Regions from separate parts of the Mus musculus genome. Here all the other regions are reported to be linked to region 3. The links are microRNA targets in miRTarBase. Many come from high-throughput screens and were not tested one by one. Region 3 holds a microRNA gene; each other region holds the end of a gene's coding sequence. Distances are from middle to middle.
What was found. The annotated mature microRNA mmu-miR-324-3p reads CCACUGCCCCAGGUGCUGCU and lies in region 3 at 1,479-1,498, opposite strand. An mRNA with a match to its seed (bases 2 to 7 or 8) in the 3' UTR can be bound and repressed. Matches are read on the target gene's strand: a 7mer-m8 pairs with bases 2 to 8, a 7mer-A1 pairs with bases 2 to 7 and ends in A, and an 8mer does both.

Region 1: the mRNA of Nlgn2 is a reported target of mmu-miR-324-3p. The part of its 3' UTR that is shown has no 7-base or 8-base seed match.
Region 2: miRTarBase lists Riok3 as a target of mmu-miR-324-3p. Seed matches in the 3' UTR shown: 7mer-m8 at 3,142-3,148 and 8mer at 2,685-2,692.
Region 4: the mRNA of Ulk1 is a reported target of mmu-miR-324-3p. Seed matches in the 3' UTR shown: 7mer-m8 at 1,411-1,417.
Region 5: miRTarBase lists Pip4k2c as a target of mmu-miR-324-3p. Seed matches in the 3' UTR shown: 7mer-m8 at 1,518-1,524.
Region 6: miRTarBase lists Ppig as a target of mmu-miR-324-3p. Seed matches in the 3' UTR shown: 7mer-A1 at 1,886-1,892.
Region 7: miRTarBase lists Gnao1 as a target of mmu-miR-324-3p. Seed matches in the 3' UTR shown: 7mer-m8 at 2,219-2,225 and 7mer-m8 at 2,071-2,077.

Annotation. Positions count from the first base shown.
Region 1 is chr11:69,821,575-69,825,633 of GRCm38, reverse strand. It overlaps Nlgn2 (neuroligin 2), which reads left to right. Exons shown (of 8, transcript NM_001364137.1): 8 at 1-2,511. The coding sequence ends at 431. Spem1 (sperm maturation 1) reads left to right here and starts at 3,469. Exons shown (of 3, transcript NM_028855.1): 1 at 3,469-3,677; 2 at 3,771-3,828; 3 at 4,000-4,059. The coding sequence starts at 3,534.
Region 2 is chr18:12,154,688-12,158,752 of GRCm38, reverse strand. It overlaps Riok3 (RIO kinase 3), which reads right to left. Exons shown (of 13, transcript NM_024182.4): 13 at 1,386-3,533. The coding sequence ends at 3,426. Among named protein-coding and RNA genes, the nearest start is that of Rmc1, 12 kb to the left of the region's middle.
Region 3 is chr11:70,009,528-70,013,592 of GRCm38, reverse strand. Mir324 (microRNA 324) reads right to left here and starts at 1,550; the gene lies at 1,462-1,550. Dvl2 (dishevelled segment polarity protein 2) reads right to left here. Exons shown (of 15, transcript NM_007888.4): 15 at 3,484-4,065. The coding sequence ends at 4,001. It overlaps Acadvl (acyl-Coenzyme A dehydrogenase, very long chain), which reads left to right. Exons shown (of 20, transcript NM_017366.3): 7 at 15-159; 8 at 292-421; 9 at 510-635; 10 at 947-1,145; 11 at 1,303-1,407; 12 at 1,823-1,909; 13 at 1,995-2,057; 14 at 2,147-2,248; 15 at 2,328-2,425; 16 at 2,515-2,587; 17 at 2,672-2,744; 18 at 2,823-2,895; 19 at 2,993-3,068; 20 at 3,157-3,410. The coding sequence ends at 3,297.
Region 4 is chr5:110,782,519-110,786,582 of GRCm38, reverse strand. It overlaps Ulk1 (unc-51 like kinase 1), which reads left to right. Exons shown (of 28, transcript NM_009469.3): 27 at 148-283; 28 at 356-2,094. The coding sequence ends at 411. Among named protein-coding and RNA genes, the nearest start is that of Pus1, 4.0 kb to the right of the region's middle.
Region 5 is chr10:127,195,653-127,199,717 of GRCm38, forward strand. It overlaps Pip4k2c (phosphatidylinositol-5-phosphate 4-kinase, type II, gamma), which reads right to left. Exons shown (of 10, transcript NM_054097.3): 8 at 3,937-4,065; 9 at 3,661-3,764; 10 at 1,415-3,492. The coding sequence ends at 3,412. It overlaps F420014N23Rik (RIKEN cDNA F420014N23 gene), which reads left to right. Exons shown (of 3, transcript NR_045716.1): 2 at 1,485-1,542. Dtx3 (deltex 3, E3 ubiquitin ligase) reads right to left here and starts at 57. Exons shown (of 6, transcript NM_030714.2): 1 at 42-57.
Region 6 is chr2:69,749,796-69,753,860 of GRCm38, reverse strand. Ppig (peptidyl-prolyl isomerase G (cyclophilin G)) reads right to left here. Exons shown (of 14, transcript NM_001081086.1): 14 at 1-4,065. The coding sequence ends at 3,479. Among named protein-coding and RNA genes, the nearest start is that of Ppig, 29 kb to the right of the region's middle.
Region 7 is chr8:93,966,559-93,970,623 of GRCm38, reverse strand. It overlaps Gnao1 (guanine nucleotide binding protein, alpha O), which reads right to left. Exons shown (of 9, transcript NM_010308.3): 8 at 3,541-3,756; 9 at 1,236-2,592. The coding sequence ends at 3,569. Among named protein-coding and RNA genes, the nearest start is that of Amfr, 44 kb to the left of the region's middle.

The DNA.
Region 1 (4,059 bases), 190 kb from region 3:
CCTTTGCCGCCCTCTATTACAAGCGGGACCGGCGCCAGGAGCTGCGGTGCCGGAGGCTTAGCCCACCAGGAGGCTCAGGCTCAGGTGTGCCTGGTGGGGGCCCCCTGCTTCCCACTGCTGGCCGTGAGCTACCCCCGGAGGAGGAGCTAGTATCGCTGCAGCTGAAGCGGGGTGGTGGTGTTGGGGCGGACCCTGCTGAGGCCCTGCGCCCTGCCTGTCCACCCGACTATACCCTGGCCTTGCGCCGGGCACCGGACGATGTGCCTCTCTTGGCCCCCGGGGCCCTAACCCTGCTGCCTAGTGGCCTGGGGCCCCCGCCCCCGCCCCCACCCCCTTCTCTCCATCCCTTTGGGCCCTTCCCACCCCCACCCCCTACTGCTACCAGCCACAACAACACGCTACCCCATCCCCACTCCACCACTCGGGTATAGGGGGCGGCTTTGGGAGGTCTGCCTCCCTAGCCCTCCCAGCCCAGGCCACTTGAAGGCAGGGAGGAGGACTTGGCACCGGGCTTTGCCCCCGTGGATTTGTCAGACTTCGTGGAGCAGTGTTAAGGTGGACATGGGATTCCTCACTGGGAAGAGAGTTTTTCCCATGCAGAGAGCCCCATTATCTCCTCTGGACCTGGGCCTTCGAACACCTGGGGGGTATTTTTTGCCCTCCGTTGGGACACCAGTCTTCGGTGTGTGGAAATGTGGAAGTCCTTTTGCCCATGTGAAGACATGCTTTCCTCAGGGGGGGGGGGTGTTTTCCCATGTGCAGGGTGAGGTTTGTTTGGTTTTTTTGTTTTTGGTTGGTTGGTTGGGTTTTTTTTTGTTTTTGTTTTATTCGGGGGGGGGGGTTGTTTGTTTGTTTGTTTGTTTTGCCGCCCTGGACACATGTTTGCCTCCTCCAAGAATTTCTGCGGGGATTTGTATCCCATGCCTTCGTCTTCTCCTCCCCGTCCAACTCCCTGGAGACCCTGGAAGTGATGTGTGCACATCCGGTGACCCTTGGCCACCAGACAATACAGGGAGGTACCTGGGGAGCAGCTAGGAAATCACAGGCCCCCTGGACCCCGCTCCCCACCCACCCCTGAATAGCATGTTTCTCCCCCATGGCACAAGGCAGGTGAAGCCCGTGCTCCCTGGAAGCCCTCACCTTCCACAGACAACAGAGATTTCCTGCTAGAGGAAAGGGGGAATCTCTGTGCATCCCAGCGCTGCCTGGAAACTTACCTTCCCACGGCCCAGGACGCATTTCATCGAATGGAAACATGTTCTTGCATGTGGATGTGTGTTTCCCAGGCAGAGGGTCCTGCGCCCCCCAGCACTCCCCTGCCCTCTCCCACACCTCAGGTCCAGCGCACACTTCCTCCTTGCATAGCAGGTGGGAGCAGACTTCTAATGGACAGAAGCCACGTGGGAAGTAGAGACTTGGAGGGAGACGCCGAGGTGGGAGGATGGGGGGCATGGCACATGTCACACAAGAGGCCATGCATGTTTAACCTAAGCCCTCAAGGGGGCCTGAGGACAGCCTTTTCCTCAGTCCTTGAGATCATTGCTCATCCGTGCCAAACTGGGTAGATGGGTTGGGAGACTCTCAAAATGTGCCAAGGATCCCCTACGTTCTAGTCCAGGGAAGGGAAACGCCAGGAGCAGGTGGCAGCTAAGGTGGTCCCCCGCAACCCTCCCACTTGTGTCTCACCCCCATGTCATTTCTCCTTCTCTGCCTTGGTTCCTCTTTCTCCATCACTGGCTCCTTCTTTGATGCTCTCTCCCCATCTCAGGGTCAGACCAGCCTTCTCTCTTTACCTTCTTTAACCTGTCTCCCCTCCCTGGTTGGTTGAGTTGAAGAAGAAGAAAGAAAGCTGAGGAGAGGGGGAAGGGAGGAGTCAGGGAAAAAGGTTACATGGACAGGCTGGGGAAGAGAATGAGGTCAGCCGTACCAAGGAGCAGATGGAGGGGCTGTGGGGGACAGGGCAGACACCAGCAGGAAGATTTTGAAAGGAAATATGGGGAGCAGCTGCCTAGAGGTCTTTGGATTTGGACCTCTTGGGGAAAAGAACGCTGTCAGGAAGGGTTTTAAGGGACACCAGTGGAGGTGTGGCTGAATCTTCATGTATTGTTTGGCTTTCTGAGGGATGTTAGTGCCAAACTTGTATAGGAGTGGGGTGCTGTCTTCCACTGACACCCAGGTCCAGAATCCTTGGTCTTGAGCCCCTGTCCTTTCTCCATCCCCCATGGAAATGTAGTTCTTTTCTGGCCCTTTCCCCTGCCTGGTCTAGCAACTCTTGGAACAGCCATGCCTTCCAAAAGCTATCAACCTGGGCCCTGAGCCCTGTAAGCAGATGCCCCAGAGCTGGGGTGTGAGAGAGGGGCTGGGGGACCCCACGATACAGCCACGGACTCCAATGCCCGGCCCCTTTCCAAATAATCCCATGCCCCCACCCCAACCCTTTGCGGCTCTGTACACATTTTTAAACCTGGCAAAAGATGAAGAGAATATTGTAAATATAAAAGTTTAACTGTTGGTTGTGTTGTCTCCTGTCGTGTTAGAAGGTAGGTGGAGGGTGGAGAGGGTACCCAGCTCTGGTTGTACCTGTCTTGTTAGAAGGGGGTGGGAAGAAGTGCCCAACCCTTTTCAGAAAATAACTCTTAAGATCTGAGGAGAAATGGCAAAGGGAAAAGTCTCCATCCTGACGGGATTGGATGGTTAAGATAGAGACCAGGATGGGATTGGATGGTTAACATAGAGACCAGGATGGACAAATAGTCAGAAACACTTATAATCATAGCATTCAGGCCACTGCGGGGGGTGGGGTGGGGCAGGAACTCAAGACCAGCCTGAGCTAAATACGAGATCCCATCTTTAAAATAAAAGTGCTGGCTGGGCAGTGTTGGCACATGCCTTTAATCCCAGCACACGGGAGGCAGAGGCAGGCTGATCTCTTGAGTTTGAGGCCAGCCTGGTCTACAAAGTGAGTTCCAGGACAGCCAGGGATACACAGAGAAACCCTGTCTTGAAAATAACAACAAAAAAGATAAAAATGTTGGACATGGTGTATGTTGTAATTCTAGGACTGGAGTAGTAATGACAGGGAACACGGGAGTTCAAGGTCACTCCTGCCTACATAGAAAGTTTGAGGCCATCTTAGGCTACATGAGACCCTGTCTCAAGTCAAACAAAACAAAACAAAAGGTCAGCAACTATGTTTGTGTGGTCCAGGGCCTGGTGCTTTAGAAGACATAAAAACTGATGAGGGCAGATGCCCAATAGATTAGAAAGCCAGTGTGTTCACCCAGGAGGCTGGCTCTAAGAAAGGATGCAAAGAAAGGGTCTGGCTCCTGCCGAGGCCTGGGCTAAGGCTGGGGGGGGGGGGCAACCCTGGGCCTTGCACCTTGAGAGTATCATCTTAGCACATTATGAGGGAAAGCCCCAACCTCATTGTGACCCGGTCACTCTCAGGACTTTCTGGGTCAGACTGGCAGGCTAGTGGGCATTAGGGGTAGTGGGCTGGGGGCCTAAGGGCCCTGGTGGCCCTAGGGACCACCATGGCCATGGCTGAGCGGCCTCGGCCTGGGTGGGCCTCGTATCAAAACCCCAACATCAACAACTGCCAGGACATGGGAAACTCCATTCTGCTGCTCTTGGGTCTTATCGTCTGTATTAACATTGGCATCAATTTGGTGACCCTGGTCAGGGATGGAGGGTGTGGTTGGGGAGGCTGGGTGGGAGGCAGGCCTGGTTCCACGGACCTACCTGTGGTCACCATGTCCTCCTATACCTAGCTCTGGAGCCGAATCCGCATCCTCTTACACCGAATGTTCCATATCATTTGTGAAAAAGGTAAGGAAGGCTAGGGGTTGGGGCCTAGCAGGGGCAGAAACCAAGCGCTCTATTCCACCTGACCCTAAGCTGGCTCCTTAAGACGGAGTTGCAGCTTCTCTTTCAAAGCCCCCACCTCCCATCCATCTCTCTAGAAGCTAGCCTTTCCAACAACCTCACTTCTCCCTACAGAAACCAGTACTTCACTTGGGAAGCTGGTCCAGCCCTTGAGGAAGCAGACCTACCCCAAAG
Region 2 (4,065 bases), not on the chromosome of region 3:
TAGGCAACGCAGAAGAGGAACCATTTAATTGGGAGCTTGCTTAGAGGATTAGTCCATGATCATCATGGCAGGAAGCAGAGGCATGATGCTGGAGCAGTAGCTGAGAGCTTTACACCCAGCCCCAAGCCAACCCACAGTGGCACACCTCCTCCAAGGCCACACCACCTAATCCTTCCCAGACTGTGGGCCGAATATTCAAACTTGAGCCTTTGCGGGCCATTCTGCTCTAGATCACCACAGTGGCCTTTGTCCAACAACTCAGAATATCTTTCGTTTTCAGAGAAAATCTGCCAGGATTAAAGGTATGTGCAAGGACAATCCAGAGTTTAACTTCAGTCTCTGTGCTGTGTAAAGTATGTATTCAATAAATAGCTGTACTTTCCTCCTGTTCATGTCGAGTCCCATCACTCTGAGACAGCATGGGTGAAACTTTCTCTCCCATAGATAAATGAGACCACTTTGAAAGTAGACTCTTCAGTCCCAGTCAGCCTTTGGATGACTAATCCATCTGGCCAATTTGTTTCTCATGAAAGTCTTTTCTCACTCTGCCAGGTGAATCCTACTAGAGATCAAACTCAGATCATGAACTTGGTGGCAAGAGCCTTTAACAACTGAGCCATCTCATCAGCCCCAAACCTCGAATACTTAGTAAATTTTAATGTAGATCCTACAAAAGTCGAATAGAAAAATATATACCTCCATAAACTCAGGCTTGAAACTATAATCAGATGAATGACATCTCCAGTATTTCTCAAGTGTTACCAATGCTTGGGACTTTAATGTGCAGGCAGGATTCCCTTCTGATGGTCAGTCTGCCAAGCCTACCTCTAGTGACACACCTTCTCCAACATGGCCACACCTCCTAATCCTTCCCAAACAGTCCCACCAATTGGGGACCAAGCATGCAAGCATGCCTGGGATGTCGGGGTGGGGGGGTGTCACATCCAAACTACTACAGTTTCTATCTTCTAAGGGAGTCAGCCTTACTTAACATCTCCCCATCAGCTGCCTGATTTTTTCAGTCTGCTTTGTCCATCCATTTTGTTTTTTTTTTTTTAGGCAGAATCTGAGGCTGGCCTCAAACTTGTAGTAATCCTCCTGCCTCACTCCATGCCTCTACCAGGATTAAAGGTGTGTGCAAGCATAATCCAGAGTTTTAACTTTCAACTTTTTGTTGCTGTAATTGTTTTGGAGACAGTCTACATACCCTTGGCTGACCTGGAATTCATTATATATACTAGGCTGGCCTCAAACTTACAGAGATCTGTCTGCCTCTACCTCCTAAATACTGGCATCTCATTCTTATATCATGGAAACTAGTAATGAATTATCTTATAGAAACAGAAATTCTCTCCAATCACCCTTGCATTGGTAACATTTTTTTTAAAGGATTTATTTACTTATTTTATGTGAGTACACTGTAGCTGTCTGCAGACACACCAGAAGAGGGCATCAGAGCCTATTACAGATGCTTGTGAGCCACCATGTAGTTGCTGGGAATTGGACTCAGGACCTCTGGAAGAGCAGTCAGTGCTCTTAACTGCTGTCATCTCTCCAGCTCGGTAACATACATACATACATACATACATACATACATCTTTACAGTCAATAATAAAATAAGACAAAGTATTCCTATTATATACATACTTTACTGGATTATTTATCAAACTAGTATCTCCAGCTATGTGAAAAATGTCCTGACTTCACAAAGGGGTTTCGGGGGGGATACCTGTAAAACTCAAAACAAAAGTTGTGTGTGTGTGTGTTTAAAACTGCACTGCTGCTGGGCGTAGTGGCACACGCCTTTAATCCCAGCACTCGGGAGGCAGAGGCAGGCGGATTTCTGAGTTCGAGGCCAGCCTGGTCTACAAAGTGAGTTCCAGGGCAGCCAGGGCTACACAGAGAAACCCTGCCTTGAAAAACAAACAAACAAACAAACAAACAAACAAAACAAACAAACCAAAACTGCACTGCTTACTTTGCTATAGAAAGGGTGTCTTGGTGCCAGGACATTAAAATAAGGACAAAGAATTAACCACACAATGAACCAATTCTAAAATGATCTCTTCATTTTTAATTTCTTGAAAGGCAAGTTCATAGCACACTCCAAGCAATGGTTTGAGAAAGAATATGTGAAGAAAGCAAACAAAGTTTTAAATGATTGTTTCTAATGACTTTTCTGCAATTTGTGTCCAGCCAATAATTTCTCATCATTTAAATCTTTGTGTGGAGCAGCAAACATAAGTGGGATGAGCCACCTAAATTCACTCCTCTGAAATGCAATTAAAGCAGTAGAACAGAAACAAAAATAAATAGTCGAGAAAGAACATATTTGGCAATTTAAAATAATGTTAAAATTTTTCAACTATAAATTACATTTACTCTTTATAACCAGACAGAAAGTGAAGCTGGTTAGTGGATCCAATGTAACTCCCGGAACTGGGGTAATGAGGTGAGAGCAAGCAAGCACTGGTCTTCAGAACAAGGCTCACCTTCTCAGGCCGAGTCCAGCCAGTGTGACGCTGGCAGAGGCCCACAGCCGAGTTAGCCGGTCAATTCAGTACTTGAGCTGTTCAGGCTGTGTCTTCCACTTACTGAACAGCTCCACTTACTTTGTTCTAGTTCTCTCCAAATGATTAGCAATCAATATGTGAACAATTTGGGGAAACGTAAACGGAAATGTTTCACTGCCTTCTTAAAATGTAGCAGATCCCATTCTTACCTTCTGCCCTTCCAGATACTTTGTATTCTCATTATAAATGTAAATAACCAACCATTTAACCTAATGAAGAAAACCTGAAAGTTAAGTTTTAAAATGTAGTTAAGAAATCCTTTTATATTTATCTTTCAGAAACCTGTCACCTCTCCTGGCTATGAGACGGAAATGTAGAATTCCACACATCTACGGTGTACCAATAAAATGCTTATGTCCATTTCCACCATCCACTGAGGCCAAGTGCCCATTTCTAGTACCCACTGGGGTCTCCACGCTCACGGTCAAACAGCTAGGAAGGGCTAATTTAAAACAGCAACATCCACCCAAAGACGCAAGGGAAAGCAGGAGGCGAGCGGAATGGAGCAGAGCGCAGCCATCGAGCCTCCCCTGCAAACACCTCAGTCCCCACCTCCCACATTTGGAAACACTGCCTATGTGAAAATCCTCATCTAGACACTTCAGATCATGAGTTGTATAAAATCCAGACTCCTGTGGCTACACATCTATACCTGTTAAAGAATTATATTATCCTTTTTGTAAGATGAGAGGTAGTGACATTTTATTCTTTCAATGCCGAGTTAAAAATTGCACACATCTGGCACGTGGGTCACAAGTGAGAAGCCCAGAAGCAGCACTGTCCACTCCTGCTTTGGTATGTCAGGTCACCTCCACTCGCTGGCTATGGCAGCTGCCGTCCGTCACCGCTGTACTAGTCGGCAGACAGCACAGGTGGGCTTCCATCATCTTTCAGAAACGAGGCTGCTTTCCTCCCGTTCTTCTGAATGTGATCTTCATTCATCTTCTCCAAAGCTTCTATCTACAGACCAAGCATGGAACCCTTCGTCAAATTTTGGCTTCTTAGGAACATATCTGACCAAAGTGGCATTTTTCCTCTCTAACCTCTGGTTAATGATGCTGGCCTTGAATCAGAATCTCTCTCACCTTCCTCTCCCCATACTCTGTTTGCATGTGACAGATGTGCACATATACATGTTTGCTTTTCTTTGCTTTTCAGTATAAAATAGATTTATTTAGGGAATGGGGGTAGGGAGGTGGTTAAGAAGATAGCAGAGGCAGAGAAAGGGGAAAAGGGAACAGGAAGAGAGGGGGAGCAAGAGGCAAGAGAGAGGCAAGAGCATAATTTGCTTTCACTTGATGATATTACCAAGGTCAATACTAGAATCTCATCAGTTTTGTGATGTCCTCCATAAAGCTCCCCGCCACAGTGTCCATCCCACCTGACTGAGCCACAGCTCTCTGCACTTCCTGCCTGCTCTTAGGCTCCCCCAGAGCTTGGCCAAGCTCAAGGTTCACATGAGAATTTCAGAATAGACGCTAACTACTCTCTG
Region 3 (4,065 bases):
TCCTTTCCCTCCAGTATGCTCGCTTGGCAGAGATTGTGGGCATGCATGACCTTGGTGTTAGCGTTACCCTGGGAGCTCATCAGAGCATCGGTTTCAAAGGCATCTTGCTCTATGGCACAAAGGCCCAGAGAGAAAAATACCTTCCCAGAGTGGCATCTGGTAAGGCAACCTTAAGAGACCCAGGGGTAAGGAGTGTGACACTGCTCACGGTGTTACAAGGAACTGCCTGGGGATGAGGGGGTGCAACTCTGGTGGTCAGGATCCCCAGTGAGCCCGTTCTCTCCCCCACAGGGCAGGCTTTGGCTGCTTTCTGCCTAACAGAGCCCTCGAGTGGATCCGATGTAGCCTCCATCCGAAGCTCAGCCATACCCAGCCCCTGTGGAAAATATTACACTCTCAATGGGAGCAAGATCTGGATCAGGCAATCTTCCGTTTCTCTTCTACCCTTCAGCCCAGTGGCCTGACCCTGCTGCTCTAAACCCTATACTAACCACCTCACTCTTCCACAGTAATGGGGGCCTGGCTGACATTTTCACTGTCTTTGCCAAGACGCCAATTAAAGATGCAGCCACGGGGGCCGTGAAAGAGAAGATCACAGCTTTTGTAGTGGAAAGGAGCTTCGGAGGGGTTACCCAGTGAGTATGGGGCAAAACAGAATCAAGGATGGGGACAGCACTGGGCTCTCAAGAGCAAATAGTCAATACAGGCCACGCTGGGGCTATCTCTGTACAAGAGGCACCCACAGGAGGTGAGCAGTTTTGTTTCCACTGGGGGAACACAGGCTAACAGGCCATAGCTAGATATCCGTAGCCCCTGGGGCACATAGGCAGTGCCCTGTATCCTTTTTATAGTCTGGGGAGTTCTCCCCTGATCATGAGACCCGAAAAGGCCGTTTTCCCCCACAGCAACCTGTTCATACCTCAACTTTCCTGCCCTGCCTTTTCAGTGGGCTCCCTGAAAAGAAGATGGGCATCAAAGCATCTAACACGTCAGAGGTGTACTTTGATGGAGTGAAGGTGCCATCAGAGAATGTGCTAGGAGAGGTGGGAGATGGCTTCAAGGTTGCTGTCAACATCCTCAACAACGGAAGATTCGGGATGGCTGCAACCCTCGCAGGCACCATGAAATCCCTCATTGCCAAGGCGGTGAGTCCCAGCCCAGTCCCTAGCTAGCACATGTCCCTGACTGCCTCAGAGCGCCGACACACACACATGCACACTCGACCATCGGCACAGTTAGGCCTCCAGCCCGTCCAGGTGGAAACTGAAGAACCACAGTGGGGTAACATGCGCCCTCTTGCAGGTTGATCATGCTACTAATCGTACCCAGTTTGGGGACAAAATTCACAACTTTGGGGTGATCCAGGAAAAGCTGGCTCGGATGGCTATTCTGCAGTATGTGACTGAGGTAAGGGCCTCCTGGGCCCCTTCCCTGGAGCCCTATGGCTTTCTTCACAGTTGGGTCAGACTACAACCCCCAGCAGCACCTGGGGCAGTGGGTCTCCAGCTTTACACCAATGCCCTAGGGGATGCGAGGAGGCATAGTCAGTTCTCTTCTGGAGGGTGGTGCTGCTCTGCTAAATGCTGCCCAGATGCACCAAACACGACTTTTAACCCACCCCTTTACAAAGTCGGAAGCCTCGAAGCCCCTGATATACCAGAGGGTCACATATTGGACATATTTGACCTGACCAGGAGGCTAAAGTGAATTCAAGGGTTGGAGGAGTAGATCAGCACTGGTCTTGAAGGTCTGAGCATTAGCCATTCTGTCTGATGCAGCCCTTCCCTGTTGTCTTCCCCATGTCCCGACCATGCTCCCTTAGTCCATGGCTTACATGCTGAGTGCCAACATGGACCAGGGATTCAAAGACTTCCAGATAGAAGCCGCCATCAGCAAAATCTTTTGCTCGGTGAGGACCCAGGTGTGATGGGAGGGCGGAGTCCAGATTAGGACCTCAGCTCAAAAATCCAACTCATCTGGTTCTCTGTCCTCAGGAGGCGGCCTGGAAAGTGGCAGATGAGTGCATCCAAATAATGGGGGGCATGGGCTTCATGAAGGTACAGAGTATTCCTCGGCAGGGGGGGGCATCTGTTCAGAGTGGACAGGCACATCTCAACAGAGGTTTCTGTGTCTTCCTGCGTGCCAGGAACCAGGGGTGGAGCGTGTGCTCCGAGATATTCGAATCTTCCGGATCTTTGAAGGGGCAAATGACATTCTTCGACTGTTTGTGGCTCTGCAAGGCTGTATGGTAAGAGGAAGGAGGATGAGAGAGAGCAGCTGGGGAGGACACTGAGTCCTCACTGTCGCCGTCCCCCTTCTCTCCACAGGACAAAGGAAAGGAACTCACTGGGCTGGGCAATGCCCTGAAGAATCCTTTTGGAAACGTTGGCCTCCTGATGGGAGAAGCAGGCAAACAGCTGAGACGGTACCTCATGGGCCGGGGCCAGGGTCAGAGTCAGGGTCAAACAAGATGGGAGGCCGCAACTGACCAGTCACTCTTCCATCTCCTCTCAGGAGGACAGGAATCGGCAGTGGTTTGAGTCTGTCAGGGATTGTCCACCCAGAGTTAAGTCGCAGTGGTGAACTGGTGAGTGAGCCTTAAAGCAGAGCCTGCGGTGGCTGTGCGCTGCCTTCCTCTCCTGAGCTCTGTCTGTGACTCTTGTCTCTTCAGGCAGTGCAGGCTCTGGATCAATTTGCCACCGTGGTGGAGGCCAAGCTGGTGAAACACAAGAAAGGGATTGTCAGTGAGTGAGCTCTGCAACCCCCTTCCCTCCCTGATTCCCTCCCTCCGACTAACAGCCCCACCCTCATCTACCTGACAGACGAGCAGTTCCTGCTGCAGCGACTGGCGGACGGCGCCATTGACCTCTATGCCATGGTGGTGGTTCTGTCCAGGTAAGGCGGCAGCGAGGGACGCTTGGCAGGCTAGAGCCACAGAGGAGCTGGGCCAACACCAGCACTCAGGATCATTTTAACCTCTGTTTCCTCACAGAGCCTCAAGGTCCCTGAGTGAGGGCTACCCGACGGCACAGCATGAGAAAATGCTCTGTGATAGCTGGTGCATTGAGGTGAGCCTTGGAGCTCCCCAGTACAGGTGGGCCTTGGAGCTCCCCAGTACAGGACGGCCTGACCGTCCCTCCCCTTCCCTCTCCCCAGGCTGCAACTCGGATCCGAGAAAACATGGCCAGTCTGCAGTCCAGCCCTCAGCATCAGGAGCTCTTCCGGAACTTCAGAAGCATCTCCAAGGCCATGGTGGAGAATGGTGGCCTGGTCACCGGTAACCCCCTGGGAATCTGAGACTCCCAATCAGGCCCTGGCAAGGTCATGTGCCTTCTCTGATGCCAAAACCCTTTATGGGGGTGATGGAGTACTTATTGCCTTAACAATAAATTTTCTACCAAGTCACTGTCTGCCGTGAATGTCACTGCTCCCTCCTCTCCACTGCCTGCCTCGCAAAGAAAGGAGCCAGAGGCTTGGGGAGTTGGCCTCTATTTGCTTTATTTGGTGTTTTGTACAAGTGACTAAAATAAATAGAGTAACAAAGGCAGCTACACAGTCCCCAACACACCACCAGCCTCCTTGGACTGCTGTCTGGGGTACCCAGCCCACACCTTCTTCTTCCCAGGGTACCACTGACCACCACCCACCCTCAACATGAGAGCTGACTAGGCACCTGGAGGTGGCGGTCATATTCTGGGGTTAGAAGGGATTCTCCATATAAAAGAGGAACTGTCTATTTAAAAAAATACTCCCCCAAATATAAGAAAGTCTATTTTAACCCCCCAAAAAGCTTATAAAAAATAAAGCTAAAAATAACCAAAGGTCCCCATCTACCCCCGAGGAAGAGGGGGAAGGACCAGGCACTGCTGGTGAGAGTCACAGTGGCAAAAACGTTTTGGTAGGCACCAGCCGCCAGGCTGAGCCCAGGCACTATGAAGGGCACCAGGCTGAAACTTGCCAGGCCAAGGGCACAGACCCAATGTGGCCTCAAGATGGGTCCCTACATAACATCCACAAAAAACTCACTGGGGTTGCCCATGGCCATGTGGAAGCTCTGACGGCTAG
Region 4 (4,064 bases), not on the chromosome of region 3:
CCATGTGGATGAGCATCTGTAGCTAATTCCGTAGACCTTTTGTGTTCACAACACAACTACAAGTGAAGTTGGGCAAATCCGCAGTATGCTGAGCAGTCAGGCCCCCTGTCGTGCCCCAGCCCTGCCCAGCTTTGCTGTTGCCTGTAGGTACAATCAGCTGCCCTTGATGAGATGTTCCAGCACCGAGAGGGCTGTGTACCGAGATATCACAAAGCCCTGCTATTGCTGGAGGGGTTGCAGCACACTCTCACGGACCAGGCAGACATTGAGAACATTGCCAAATGTGAGTGCCTTTCCGGAGCTTAAGTGGGGGTGGTAGGTGTGGCCTCCCTGTCTCATGCTCTCTCCTCCACAGGCAAGCTGTGCATTGAGAGGAGACTCTCGGCCCTGCTGAGTGGTGTCTATGCCTGACTACCTGCTGCCAACCTGCAGGGTAGGGTCTGAGACCTGGCAGACTGTCCTCAACACTGATCAGATCCGATGGTGCTGAGACTGCTGCCAGCCAACTCCAGCAGGGATGCTCCACAGTGGACCTGTGCAGACTGGTGCAACTCTTGCTTCCTAGACTGCCAGTCTCTGCTGGCAGGTAGACATCAGAGTGCCAGGGGTCCCTTGCCCACTGGGACAGGAGTTTCTGAACATATTCTTCCTAGCTGGCTCCCTGGCAAGCAGGTATGGTGCCGAGAAGTGGCACCTGCCACCTGAAGAGCCCATGGCAGCCCTGTGTCAGGCAAGGGCCTGAGACCGTTGCTGACTCCAAGCCAAAGCAAGCTTTTCCTCACAGTTCACTTGCCCCATTGCTTGTCCAAGAAAAAAGGGTATGGTCTTCTGGCCCCCTGTTCTCTCTAGGAACTTCTCCCTCTGAGACTACTTACCCAGCTTTGTAAGTCACCGGAGCACTTTATGCATACAGAGACTGGAGAACCTAGCCAGCAGTGCAGACTGCTGGGAACCTGCCTCCTGTTCCTGGCTTTCGTCCTCCAAGACGCTGTATAGATGCAGACCACATCTTTGTGTATAAAAAGCCCAGTGTTCACCTCCTCCTGTGTCTGGTCTTTGGAGGAAAGCAACAGGCTTGCCTCCTGAGGGAGAGATAGTCCTCACGTTTAAATGTTCATTAGGGACAGACAGTTCATTGTGTGAAGCACCACCCATGCTTGTTAAAACTCCTCAACTTCCACACTTTACTCCTAAGATGTGTCTCCACCCTCCCAACTCAGTTTTTGTTCATAAAAGGAAACTTCAGATGTTTAAGGATTGAAAGGGCGGAGGCAGGGCAGGCCAGGTATCACACTGGATGTTGTCCTTGTAGGAGACGGTGCCCGCTGTGTGGCTGAGGCTGTAGCATGTGCCAGAGCGAGTGTGCTGCTGGCTATCTCTATTAACTTTCCCTGGAAGGGCGGCAGAAAAGGCAGTGCCCAGGTGCCGTCCTCCCTGTGCAGTGGAGGTGTGGGTGAAGAATAACATATGCAAACATGTCCCCTGTGGAGCTTTCCTGTCAGTCTGGCTCCTGTGCTTGGTGGCCTTCAGGATCTGTGCTGAAGCTCGTCTTCCAGGCTCCAGGGTGGACACATGCTAATACCTTCCCAGCCTCCCTGACCTGCCAGTCCTTTGTCACGGCTCTGTTCATGCATACTTGAAAGTATCTGAGTGTCCACAAGCTGATGTGGGGTTTCAGAGTTATAGGCCACACACACACACACACACACACGTTTTTCTTTGCAATACTTGAAATATTGCCACTGTGCTTGGTTGTACAAGAGTTGTACAAGAAAGCAGATCTCTAAGACCAGTCTCTTCCTTAGTCACCCTATGACCTCCCTTGCATGTAACATGTTGTATTTATTGCTTTGTGGCCAACTGGAACCCAGAGCCACCAGGGAGGCTAGTGCAGGGATTCCTGACCCACCACCTGGTTCCTGAAAGGCTCCTGGGTGGCTGTGTGTGTGTGTGGCTGGCTGTGTGTGGTATGAGCCAAACCTGCTCATGAAAGCAGTGCTCAGGCCTGTCAATTTTAAGATGAATTTTGTGAGTCTCCCCCTTTTGTGTTTCACTGTGTCATATCAGTTTAAGAAAATAAAAATTGGAATTATTTATGTGGTGTCAATTTCATCCTGGGGTGCCACTGTCCCTCCAGGAGCCGGGTGTGCCTTCAGGTCTGTCTGGGCAGGTTGCCTGTGTCCCCCAGCCAGATTGAGTCCAGTAGTACTTCACGGTGCCGGTGGTGTGGTGGCTTGCTCAGCACCGGAAGCAAGCCTCAGTTTGATCCAGGGATAGCTGGGTGGGTTCATTGTATCACCCAGGAAACAACAGTTCCCACTGGGTCAGGTGAGGATCCAGAGAGGGTGGGGCAATTCTCCAGGCCCCCTAGAGTGGAGCATCATTGATAATGAACCTTCCCCATTTTGAGAGACAGGGTCTTTGATTCCTAGGCTCAGATGATCTTCTGTTCTCTGCCTCAGACTTCATAGCAGGGACTGTCGGGCACCCCATTGCACCTGGCTTCACTTGTCATTTTATTCTAAACTTTAGCAAGTATGCTCTGAGGTGCAGTTTCCCAGCACTAATCTTCTATAAACCATTGGCCACTCTGTATGCTTTATTTGTTCCAATCCTCTGTGCTCTCCAGCCCCTTAAGTCAGGCTCTCTATAGTCTAGGCAGGCTGCAAACATGCTATGTTCAACAACCAATCCTGCTTTTAGGTGTTGGAATCACAGATGTATATCACTGTGCCTGGTTTTACTTTGCCTATGCTACACACATTTGGGTTTTTTGTTTTTCTCAGAAAACTTCCTTGATCTGCCTGTGGTTCCCTTTGCTTGCTCTGGCATTGGTATCCCAAGCAAACATCTAGATGTAATGCTTTCATCTTACATCTGTATTATCTTCGCAGGATAAAAATTATTAGGTATAGTAATACCTATATATCATAGTAAACTAATCCAAGATATCACATGTTCATGGAGTCCATGTTTTATTTTTATGCCCTGTTGAGACATTGTTTCAGGTGTCAGTGGTTAAAAGGTTTTATTTATTTTATATATAGTAAATACACTGTAACTGTCTTCGGACACACCCACCGCACGAGGACTTCAGATCCCATTACAGACGCTTGTAAGCCACCGTGTGGTTGCTGAGAATTGAATTCATGCATGACCCTTGGGAGAGCAGTCAGAGCCTGCCAGATAGTTTAACTCACTAGCTGTGGTTGGCTTTGAACTCCCAATCCTGCCACACCCTGCCCAGTGCATGGAATGCAGGCATGGTGTTACCACGCCTGGAGCAGTTTTAGGTTTATAGAGAGACATGGGGAGGTCCTGTTTTTCCTTCTTGCAGCTGATAATTCTTGTTAGCATCTTTGGGTTTGGTGCTACAGTAGACCAAGAGCCTCACGTGCTATGCGAGTGTTTCACTATTGTGCTATATCTGTAGACCCTTAACTATTTTGTATGTGTGTGTGTCTGTGCACTTAGGTGCAGGCACTGGAGAAAGTCAGGAGAGGCTGTTGCATCCCTCTGTGCTGAAGTTAAGAGATTTTTATGATCTGATGTGTGCGCTGAGGTCTGAACTCTGGTCCCTGTGATGAGGCATTTCGCTGTCCCTTTCTATGAGACAGAATCTGGTGAAATTTATGCTGGCTTTGAACTTTTGATTGTTCTGCCACAGCCTCCCCATTACTAACCTGACACCCGCGCCACCACACCCAGACAAACCAGGATACTTGAACAGTGATGTGCCACTGTCACTGCAGTACAGAACTGAGTGCTGTCTTGTAACTCCCGTTCGGCCTGATCATTCTCTTGAACCCTGACCCTGGGATTTCTTTAGAAAATATTGAACATCTATGTTCATATGACTGTGCTGGGGTGGATACATAGTGGAGTCCTGGAGTGGACCTGGCTGACTGGTTGAGGTACAAGGTTCCCTGCGACCTGAACAGTGATCAGAGTGACTGTGAGGCAAGGAGGCGGTTCAGTTCTACAGAACTCAGTAGCCATTGTTGGTTTGAACTTCTGGAGTCTGACAACACGTGGTTTCTTTTAGGCATGTACAAGCATGGCAC
Region 5 (4,065 bases), not on the chromosome of region 3:
GGGGGGCACGCGGTGGGTGTGGGGGCGCCGGGCTCACCTACCTCTCGTCAGCGCCGCCATTGCCGGTCACATGACTGAGGCTGTTGCTGGGATGACGGTCCGGGCCTTAGCAACAAGGGGCGGGGGGGTGGGGGGGAGACCCTGAGAAGGTGGAAGGGGATGCCGGGGTGCAGACCGAGAGAAAGGAAGGGAGAGCACCCCTCCCCTTGGTGGGTGATAATCACCGTTTCCTTTGACCCCCTCCTACCCGGGAGCCCCTGCCTCTGCCCCAAAACAAAAATGGAGGCGCAGTTCCAGTCTTTGGAGGGAGGGGTGGCGTCATGTAGCCGAGGGTAGGAGGTTAAATCCCTTAGAAACGCCACTCTCTTGGCTTCCCCCTCCCGGAGGAGACCTCTCCCCACTTCTTTCCCAGCCAACTGCGTTGCACTCTTAGGAACTGGTAGGGGTGGGAGCAGTGTCGGTGGGTATATAGATTGAAGGGGAGGGAAATTTTTTTGAAGTCTTACGCTGGAATATGTTGGATGGGAAGTTTAAAAAAAAAAAAGGAAAACATTGGTACTACAAAATAAACCCTGTGACTAAACTACTTCAATCCCCTCCCTCAACTCTTGCCTCCTTCCAGACTGTTACCTCCGGTGACCCCCCCCACCCCCAACCCTCGCAGCCTGTTACCAGAAGTGGGCTGGTGACTAGTTTTCCACAAGTAAGGACACTGGTCTGTGCAGAACGTGAGGTGGATAGATCCTTTAAAAATGGCTCAGGGTGGTGTTAGTGTCAAGTACATGGCTCAAATAGAGTTAAAAATTCCCAAAGAAAAAAAGCTCTGCTCCGCTCTGCTTCCCGTCAGAGCTGTCTCCGCCTCCTCCAGCTCACTTCCCTGGGGCTACATCAAGCCAGGTTTTTCCACCAGCCAAGAGACCTCCTCAGCCAAGAGAAGAGGTACTGACTCTCCCAGACTAGCACCAACCACGTCATCCACCCCTCTCCATCCCCTCCCCCCTGAACTGGAGGACTGGTCACTCCTTCACTTTCCCAGGACCCTGCTGGACTCTTCCTGGCCTCTAAGCAGATAGCTTTCCCAGGAAGTCTGCGTGAACAGAGAATTCCTTCCCACAGAGCTGGTACCCCAAGAGGCCCACTAAAGTTAACAGATGGAGGAGCAAGAGCATAATGAAGACAGACACACCATCCCACTCCCACTCTGGCCGCCACAAGGTTGGCGACTATTTTCCCGCTCCCATGTCCACCCCACAACTCCAAGTCCACAGTCATCTTAGAACACCCCCCCCCCACACACACACACACATACTCAGGAGCCCAACACCTTGAAGACCAATATTTTTCAGTTGGACTCTGTAACTCTTAAACATAGGATGGGTTACTCAGTTTTTTAAAAAACAAAAACTTCTGTGAATGACTTAGATCAAATAATTTATTTTATTGTGATATCGGGAGTAAATATACATATTTTATTAACAAAACAGATGGAAAACGGAAGCAGTAAGTGAAGATGGCAACACTGCCCACGACCACAGCCGCACGGTGAGACCCCAGTTGTTAAGGGACCGGAGTCACTTATTGCATTCAACAGGGGAAAGGTTGCTTGAGGGATGGGAGACTCAGCAGGTCCCACCCACCCCAACCGGGCACCCATCTTGCTGCTTCCTTTGGTGAGGGAGGTGGGCTTCTCCCTGAGGACCTCATGGACACACAGCAAAGCAGCTCCTTGCCTTCAATGCCCACCCCACCTCCAGAGCGCCAAACAGCGAAGATGAGTGGCTTGCTTCCAAAGGCTTTAGGCAGAGACAAAGACAATCTATCTCTCCTTAGAATCATTTTCCCCAAGATGGTCTCCTGTTTCCTTGGCTGGCCTCAACCTCGTCAAGTAACTAACTGGCGATGACCTTGAATGCCCCATCCTGCTTACCACTACTTCCCAGGGCCAGGAGTGCAGGCGTGCACCGCCACGCCTGGCTTAAGTGGTGCTGGGGGTGGATCCCAGAGCTTTGTACATGCTAGGCAAGCACACTACCAACTCAGCTATGATCTCCAGCGCTCAAACCCAAACCTATTTGGAGTGTTCCTGAGACCAGGTCTCACTCAGTAGCCCAGGCTGGACTTGAACTCTCAGAGCCTCCTGAGTGCTGGCTTTACAGGCACGAGCTGGGAGAGCTAAGATGCCTAGCAGGTCCTCTCCATTCTGAGGATGGCGTGCATTAATATTCAGCTGTCTTTGGAGAGGACTGGGTGGATTGAGTTATGGCTCTGACTCCTCTCTGGGGGCGGAGAGGGGAGATGACAAAGAAGGCCATCTGTCCCCTGGGAGACACATTAGCAGTGGAAGATGGGACAGAATAACAACTCCAACCAGAAAGGGTTTTGAGAAGGAGGGGGAGTTCTAGGTACACATGCCCCAGGGATGCGGAGGCTCCTTCACTCGAGAGCTCTATCCTCCCCAAATTATGGAGATGGTACTGTTCCCCTCTGCTAGAAAGAAGCCCAGGAGTAGTGAGACAGGAAGAAAGGGTGTCACCCAGGCAATGAACCCTGCACTCCGACCTGTCCCGGCCTCTACTGCTCTCCCTGCTCACCAGCAAGGCACAGGGTTGTGGGAAGAGCAGCCCGAGTCTCACACCTGCACCTAAGCTCGGGCACCGCTAGCCTCTGGGCTCCTGCACCCAAAGTGCTCACAGAAAGAGGTGGACGTGGGGTGGGGTGGGGTGGGAGAACGGGAACAGTCGGGAACAGTCGTTGCTCCACAGGGACCTTCTCCATCATCTGCATAGTCACAAAAGTCCGCTTAGGCTTAGGTCCTGCCTTGTGAGGTGCCAGCCTGCTGACCACTCCCCACCTGACCTCCAGGCCAGACTGTCCATGTGTGAATGCCTGCACCCACATCTGGAGCATCCTGAAAGCCCTCCATTCCAGGGCTTACCAGGGAGGAAGCATGCCACAAAGTGCCCCATAAAAGTATCAGCAAAATCCAGACATTCAGTTTCTTCCACTCAGCAAAAGTGCATCCAGGCAGTTGCTTGAGCCAAGTCCACTGTTCAGTCAGGTCCCGAAGATGGCAAACAACCCCTCCCCCAGCTCCTCCTATTTCATAGAAACAAGATATTTTTCAAAGATCAAGGCACTTAGAAGAGTCGACAATAACACTCTAAAGAAGCAGGAGGGCTTACTGGGAGCAAGGAGGGAGGGCAGAGAAATGGACAAGGGGAGAAAGGACAGTGTATGTCTGGGGTGGGCGAGAAAACCCTATCCACCAGAAGGAAGTTATTTGGATGGAAGGAGCCTGCAGCCTGAATTTAGCAAAGAAGAGAAGTAACGGCCAAGTCCAGCTCCCCTAAGCCTCTCAGAACCCGCCACCTCCAACATAAAGCCGCAATCACCCTGGAGTCAGGCAGCCTCTTAGGCAAAGATGTTGGCAATAAAGTCCAGGAATCGCTTAGCATACTGCTCAGGATGGACAGTGGAGATCTCTGCCCCCGCCTGTGAGAAGAAAAAACAGGGAACAGTGTCACTCACAGGAGCTCTCCGCCTCCCCCTCAGTTCACCCTCCTACTGCCTTCCCTCAGCCATCCCACTACTCTGACCCCAGAAGCGTTCTTTCCAGAGAACAGTCAGGCCAGGAGAGGAAAGGCTGTGGGGAACCCTCACCCCGTGCTTGACAGTCTTGGCTGCATGAGCTGCTTTCTTCTTGGCATCATACTGTGTCAGAATGTCAATGAGGCCCATGAAATACACCTCCTTCTGGGGGGCCCCTGGGGAGAGAGGCCAGCAGTGAGGACAGGGTACAACAGTCCCAACTCCTTTTGCCCAAGAGATAACTTTGTTGTGAAAAGCTAAGCGGTTTCTCCACCCACCACCCTGGTCTCTGTCTCCCAAGGGTCCCCATCACCCCGCTCCCCCTAACATTTCCAGGTTCTCTCTCACCCTCCGCACTCCGGATAGCATAGACATCGATGAAGGACTCAAACTCTCCTGGGCCCAGTGGCCGGTGGGAATGGATGTAGCCTCCGATACCCTCAGGGGAGGTACCATAGGAGCCCACCAGGGCGGGAG
Region 6 (4,065 bases), not on the chromosome of region 3:
TACAATTGAGAAAACAAGTTTTCTAAATTCCATTAAAAAAATATACATCACAGTGACTGTGGAGCTAGGAAAAGAAGTGCATTAACCTAATTATGCTTTCCCCTTCCACAGAGAGCAGCCACACCTCAAGATTCCATAGAAATACCCAATTTATGTGTCAATCTTTCAAAAATACTATAAACACACAAAGAGGGTGGGGCAGAAATACAGAGAATGTGCTTTTAGTAACATGGAATTGTCTATAAAAGAAAACCAAAACCAGACAGAAATACAAACCAATGAATGCCCTTCCATCCTCCAGTACTAGGGGTGAGTCAGGGAGAGCAAATGAGTAAAACCTTAACACTTCTTCCTCTTTGGCCTGTGCGGCCTTTTTTTTTTTTTTAAATGAATGTGATTTGTTGTTTATTTGTCACACAGCAGGTGAATCCCTTCAAGACATTGAGAAGCCCACTGCAGGCAGTAATGGCAATCAACACTCAGTTTCCTTGGGATACTTTATTTTTAAAAACAATTAGTTTAAAAATATATTCTTACAATTAAAGTTTCTCAAACTACACAGAGAGTTTGTCAACTGTAAATGCATAAACCCTACAGGGAATAATTACAGTAAATAGAAACAAAAGAATGAAAAATGCTCATTTAGTTTTTTATACCAATCAGTTAAGTCTAAGTCCTTTCTGGGAAATTTACAGAAATTTGCTGTAAAAGGTTCCATGATGAAAGCTATTAACACATGGAACAAAGGATCAATTATACTAACTGCTCTAAGTAGTCACTAGAAAATAAAGTAGGAGCAGTAGTTAATACTATTACCCAAAATACCAGAACCCCAGCATGTGCCTATCCAGAACATAAAGGTTCTTGGTTTGACACCTACCACTGGATGCAAGCAAAGCCAGTGAGCAGCTGGATCACACTGGGGCAAAGAAAGCTAGCAGATTAGCATAACTTTTAAGTGAAAGAGCACTTTAAACGTTGGATAGCTGTTCCCAGACAGTCTTGTCTTTACAGCAAGTAACCATTCTGTATCAGCTACAATGCAGTACAATACAGTAGCTTTACTTTCTCTAACGATCTCTTTGTAGTGTCAATTTCTGTGGTAAACAACTTATCCAGAACAATAATTCATACAATAATCATCAAAGTCTTACATACTGAAATAATTTCCTCAGCTTTGGAGTCAAGCAATAAAAACAAGTGAAAGTACTTTCAAGGGGTATTAAAAACTATTCATTAGCTGTAAATTTAGATATTCTTAGAAAGCCAATGTGATGGGAAAATTGAAATGGGAAATAGTTTTGGGAATATGATGTACAAATAACTAAAAATCTACTAGAACAAGAATTTGGGCTTTGTGCAATTGATAACTGTGAATCTTGGGGTACAATTAATGCTGTTAATTATTTATTCTGAAAAAAAAATCTAGATTGTCTTTTCTCAACTATTTACCCCATTATCTGTCATATTGAAAAAAATAACAAACTAACAAAGCAGGAGTTGGGGGAGCCCGTAAATGCTCAGCTCTGAGCTGCTCTCTTGGAGGATATTACAGACATTACCAATTTTCTCCCATGTTTACTTTCCTAAAGAACTGGAAAGTTCTTGTTTATAATGTATATGCTAACAAGTAAAAGCTCTAGATAAGAAAAAAAAAGTAATTTTACTTAAAAAAAGTATGGATTTTAAAATGTTTGTTGAAATTCCTTTCTTAAAGATCAGGTAGTTTGGGATATATTTTAAAACACAACTGAATTTAAGACATAATCAACTTTTTAAGACATGTAACAGATCACGTATATATTAACTATTCCCATCAAGAAAAACTATTTGTAAAGAATCCATTGTGGGTATTTGCTTTAGGATGTTCCAAATAGCTTTATAATCACTGCACTCTTCATTCTGTACCAGCTACAATGCCAAATATATCTTACCATAGTAATCAATAATGGGAAGTATATTAAGCATCACTTTATTCAGTACAAATATCATTGAAAAGCTAGTGGGTTTACCAAGAAGCTACCTTGGTAAGAGCTGACACTATACTGACAAATATTAGAGTACAAAAACGTCCTAAAGGCTACTATTAATTGGATTTTTGAAATATTTCTCAAATGAGGCAGGTTTTGTGTTTGCTGGATGTTCAATGTTTTATTTAGAAGGATATTACAGAATAAAAGGCCACACATCACAAAAAAATAGCAAAATACAACACACAAAATTCTGAATGGACTTTGGATATGTTTAGTGTTTAACTCTGCACGGTATCATATTTTGCAACTTTCTATTCTACTTTATATGGCAATGTTATACATGCCAAGTTAAAATAATGTTAACAGTAAACTGGTCTAAAGCCATCTGAATAGAAAGAAACCAGAGTCACAAACATGCTACACAGCCTATCATGGTACATATATAGAAAGATGCATCTTCTTGACATTTCATATTCACAGCTATGAGAATCAGAGAAGTTAGTCCAAGTTTAAAAAAAAAAAAACAAAAAACAAACCCAAATCATGCAGAATTACCACTCAATGTGATATAGGCTAATAGCCAAAATAGGGAAATCTTATTTCCAATACTAACGCTTTTTAGAATCTGTCTAGCTTAAGAAGGATCTACACAAGTAGTATGTTTTAATGAGAAATGCATTTTTTAAATTGTAGAAAAAGGTAATAACATGTTCTTAAAAAGCAACAATTTCAGCTCTTCACACCAAAAGCAACAAAGAATTGAAAATTACAGTCTGGTCTTCCAAGGTCTAATTTCTGTCAAATGCTGTATAACAGCAACTCAAGCTCAATCAGCACATGAACTGAAAACAGCACTCACCTCATTTTTATAGCTCGCAGAGCAACGTGGACAATATTAAGAAACAAGCTACAGCTGGAATTGTAAAGTATAAGGTATAAAGCACAAAAAAAGTAACTAAAGTACAAATAACTGTAAAATCAAATGAAGGTTTAAGATCACATAAGGATCCTGCTTCTGTTAGTTAAGGAAACTGCTCTAAGCCCATGAATTATAAATGAAAAATCAAAGCCCAAAAAGCTATACAAAACTTCAAGTGGTTTCTAAAGGGATTTGTATCAAAAGAAACACAAGCCTATACAACAATGTACTGCAACCAACAGTTAAGCTTGTTTCCAAATGGCTGATTAAGCAAAGTAGGCTGCTATTGACGGTTGCAACACAAAAATGAATACATAAGAATTTAACATAGCACACAGTATTACACCAAAGTGTTGTTTTTCTTTTCATTTCAAGTTTATTAAAACTTTAGCAGTACAAATTATCCAGGTAGCAGATTATCAAAAGATCAACTCAATGAAGTCCACATTTAAAAAAAAAAAGGGGGTGGGGGGAGACAAACATAAACAACTCCAAAACAATGAAAACAATAAAAAAGGGAGGTTCAACAGTAAGTCTTAAAAACTGAAAATTTGAGACAGGAAGGAATTAAGAGTACACAACTCACTCATCCACTTTTGTCTTCATCTGTTCCAGGGCTTGATTCATGATCACATTTTTTATTTTTGTCATGTACATGGTCATTTTCTTGACCCTTTGATTTTTGGTTTTCTTTTTCCACCGGGGATCTGGTCTTTTCGTCCTCTTGATTTTTTAATGTGGAGGACTTCACTTCATTGTCCTGACTGCTTTGCTTTGTTTTTGACACTGGACTTTGCTCTCTATCAGCCTTTTTTTCCCTGTTATTACTTGAGCTATTATGATCACGACTTTTAGAGTACGTTCTTTTCTCACCCTCAGAATTTTCTTTTCTGTGTGAACTCTTACTTTCTTGGCTTCTATATTTATCTTTGTTTCTACTTTGACTTTCTTCTCTCTCTGAGCTCCGGGAATCCCTCCTTCTTCTCCTCCTATCTTTACTTCTCGATCGTCCTGGCGTTCTTCGATCCCGGCTTCGTGACCTTCCTCTTCTCCTATACTCCTGTTCTCTGTATCTATGGTACTCCTTGCTTCTGCTGCGATCTCTGTCGTGGCTTCTGGACCGCACTCTTCTGCTCCTGTCCCTACTTCTGCTCCGCTCCCTTGTTCTACTGT
Region 7 (4,065 bases), not on the chromosome of region 3:
GGGAAAGAACTTGCTAGAACTCACTTTGAGAGAAATCCAGACTGGTCTGGTCGTGTTCACCTTTGGCCTGCCGTTGGGATCTTGGTTTGTCGTCTGATATAACAGTCAAGGTGTAGATTGGTTGGAGGTTGAGTGGTTCCCTCTGTATTCAGCAAGTGAAGGCAGTTGGTAAGGAAGCCACTGGAAAAGAGGTGTGGCTTGGTGGAAGAGCCTTCTGGGTGTGCCAGCATTTACCAGGTACCCATGACAGCTGGGGACAGGACCATTAGACTTGGTCTGAAACAGTTTTGTGTCTACACCTTCACACATACACCATGCTGGGTTCAAATGACCAAAGGCTATGACATGTGTCTTCTGAGCTAAGAATTTCCACGTGGGGTGCTGTTGGGATAGGATTTCATTAATAGACCTTGTAAGGTTTCCCCATTACACTGATACAGAACATGCCCTTAGCTGCTTGCCTAATGATTGGCCTGTGGTGTGAGGCATTTTGGTAGGCCCAGTCGCAATCCATTTGCTAGTTCTTATGCAAAGCCACATAGTTTGAGAGGTCATAGAGAGATCACTGGCTGAAAAGCTCAGACTCTGAGAGCCAAGCTGTTTTGTCTTGCTTCCCATGTGCCTCACCTGCTGAGACCCTTGGACCTAGCAGCAGTGGGACAAGCAAAGCCAAGGAGAAGCCTTCAGGAGAGTCTTTGGGCTGAGCTTGTCCTTTGGCATCACAGTGGGTGTGCAGAAGGCTGGGGCGGTTTGAGCTCCTTGGAAGCACCTGTTTTCCTCTTGGAGAGAAAGCCCTGGCCATGGAAGACGGGAGGGGCGGCCGGGCTTGTTTCTCCCTGTTTCCTGCCCCAGTCTCAGGTCACTGGGAACCATAAAACCAGATGTGCTGGAGGAGTTGCAGCCAAAAGAAGATGCCCATCTTCCTGCTCTCATTCCTGTTTGTGTATGCGTGTGTGTGTGTGTGTGTGTGTGTGTATAAATGTGCCTGCAAGAGCACACACATGCACACATGAGAGACAGGAGAGAGGGGGCTGAGGGGAAAGAGGAAAGACAGTTTCCTCAATTACTGTGCTACTGAACTGTCTCCCCTCAGTGACAAAATGTTGAGGGACCTAGACAATCCTGTGGAGAAATTCCTGACCCACCACCCTCCCAGGGTATGTGGCCAATTGTCTCCTGTCAGATTGAAGCCCACCCCAGGGACGATCGTCTGGAAGGCAGAAGGTGAGACTTGGTACAGACAAACATTCTCTTTATTGAGCTACACAGGAATCCATTAGAGAAGTAGGCTGGCAGTGTCAGGTGTCACAGAAACCTCACCGTTGGGAATAGAAAGGCTTACAAAGACCCGTGGGCTTTTTATTTTTATTTTTTTTTTTTTACTTTTTTCCTTTTTTCAAGTTTTTTTTTTCTGTATTTTTAAATTTTTTGTGTTTTGTCTTTCGCCTCCTTTATTGAAATGGCTGTGACTGGTCTTCAGTAAATATTGTCTTAAAAGTGAAACCATGAACAGGTCTGGGGTTAGATACTAGTCAAGTAGAAATGACATGGGACTGATCATGAAAACTGGCTTTAATGTAAACACTACATTCCATCTTTTTAATTTTTTTTTTGTTTTTCTTCCATCTTGTGGTATTTAAAAACTTTATTTTTTTTGTTCTTTTTATCTGCAGCACAAACATCCCAACATGAGAGCGAGGGAACACAGGTCACTGGAACAGAGAGGAGAGGGGGCCACACACAGGGGAGGGCTTCTGCCCAAGGCCAGAGGCTGTGATGTTAAAGGAAAAACAAAAACAAAAACCAAACCACACAACCCCTGTTCCCCAGACCCCAGACACTGGCAGAGCTGGTCAGGTATGCATGGGAGGCACTCACTAGGACCAGAAAAACCAAAAAGTTAACAACACAAAGGGAGTGTAGGAAGGGGCTGGGTGAATTGCTTCTATAGGGCTGGATTTCTATAGGTGATGAGCGTTGTCTGTGGCAGCTACCCCTGCCAGAGCTGTGCTTTTTCTACGCAAACTTTGAGTGTGTTTGGAGTCGCGTGGCTGAGCAGGGCGGAGCTGCCACTGCCTGGTGGTATATGAGGTGTCTGGGCAGCCCACAGGCATGGGGAAGGGTGGGTACAGTGGCCAGTGGCCTTCTAGACAGACTAGCCTGACATGTTCCCACCAGCCATGGGCTGCACAGAAGCCCTGGGAGGCGCCAGGCCCAGCACTGCCTCTGTGTGCCAGCCCCAGTTCTGCTGAGGTGGGGAAGGGGGAGGGTGTGGGTACAGACATTTTTTTTTTAAACTTCAAAATAAAAAGGAAATATGGATTAAATGGTGAGTTTTCCTTTTTTCTTTTAAAGCTACAAAGCACATGAGAAATGGTTTTTGTTTTGTTTTTTAAAATCCTTTCAAGTTCTAAATGTAAAGACTCAACTAAAACTGTATTCTACAGCATTCTACAGAAATACACAGCCGTCAGTCACTCTGGGGTCGTAGGTTAGACAGGGGCTTGGTACAGAAAGGCTGTGTGTCTTACAAAGGCCAAAGGTCATGCTACCAGGAGATCAACATCAACAGCAAAGAGTCCATGAAGCAGTCTGTAGAGAGAGAGATAGGGGCCAGTCTGACCATTTTCTTTGACTTTACAAACCAACCAACCAACCAACCAACCTAGAACATTTAACTAGTGCAGGTGGTGGGGCACAGTGGGGAGCCCGCAGTAGGGGAAGCCCAGCCCTGCCTTGTACCTTGCTTCTAGCCTGGTCTGCCAGTCCAGCCCTCCCCAACCGCTCACACCTCATCCATGGGCCTCTTCAAGGGAATCTGGCTTAAACTCTAGGTGAGCTTGGGCAATGGCTCACACATCCCCTCCCCTCAATTATTTGAGAAAGCAGACCAGGTCTCCCATCTCCCTAATTTTCCCCTGTTCCCATGAATAAAGAAAACTCAGGAGACAGTGGATTGATCGGAGCAATGATTCTTCTAGATTCCTGAAATAAACAACCACCACCCAAGAGAGAAGGGTCCTTAAGAGTTCTCTGTTGTGGCTAGAGGGTAGGGGGATGTTTTGAGTGTTGGCCGTTTCTTAAATGGTTTTGGAATTTGGGAAGGAGCAGGGCAGAATTGAGCAGGTAGCCTTGTATTAGGATGCAGGGGGTTTGGGGGCTGCTGTCGAGAACCAGGTCTCCCTCTGCCTGCCCTGCTCATAGCCCTGGGGATATCTAGAGGAAGGATTGCCAACCCAGGCTCCCACCATGCCCTGTGTGAGTGTGTGCATGCACATGTGTGCATGCTCATGTGCTGTCCCAGGAAAACTGATGAGCCAGGGATGGTGGTCAGTCTGTCCGCAGCTCTTTTGAGTATTAACTAAAAACATTTTTCTAATATATACTTGTGTATAGATAAGGTTACGTTATGCCTCTTTAAAGTTTATTTACCAACTTGCACTGGTTAGTGGTGTGTGTGTGTGTGCACGCGCATGTATGTGTGTGTGTGCGCGTGTATGTGTGTGTGTGCACAAGCTGTTCTGTGAGTGCTGGAATTACCAAATAGGTTGCTATACAGGACAAGAGGTCAGTACAAGCCGCAGCCCCGGAGATTGTTGGCAATGATGATGTCGGTGACGGCGTCGAATACCACCTGGATATTATTCGTGTCTGTGGCACAAGTCATGTGACAGTAAATTTCTTTGTTGGGTGAGCGGTTTTTGCTTTCAAACTGTGTTTGGATGTAGGCAGCTGCATCTTCATAGGTGTTGGAGCCTGTAGGAAGATATAGAGGAACAAGCGAGAGGCCCTAGTGAGAGATGGGCGTGAACGGGATGGTCGGGAGACAGAACAGGTGAGGTGAGACAGGAGGGAACAGCAGTGTTACCTCACCCCATTCCCAAGGGCAAGGCTGCACTGGAGGCTACAAACCACCAAAGCCCTTTACTTACTGTGTTTGTATTGTATGTCTATCTATGATGGCTCTGGGCAGAGCAATGGCCACAGATGATCTCATTTGTACTAGATTAACAAATCTAGATAGAGCAAGCACCTTTCTGTGGCATAAAGCTAAAATGTACACCA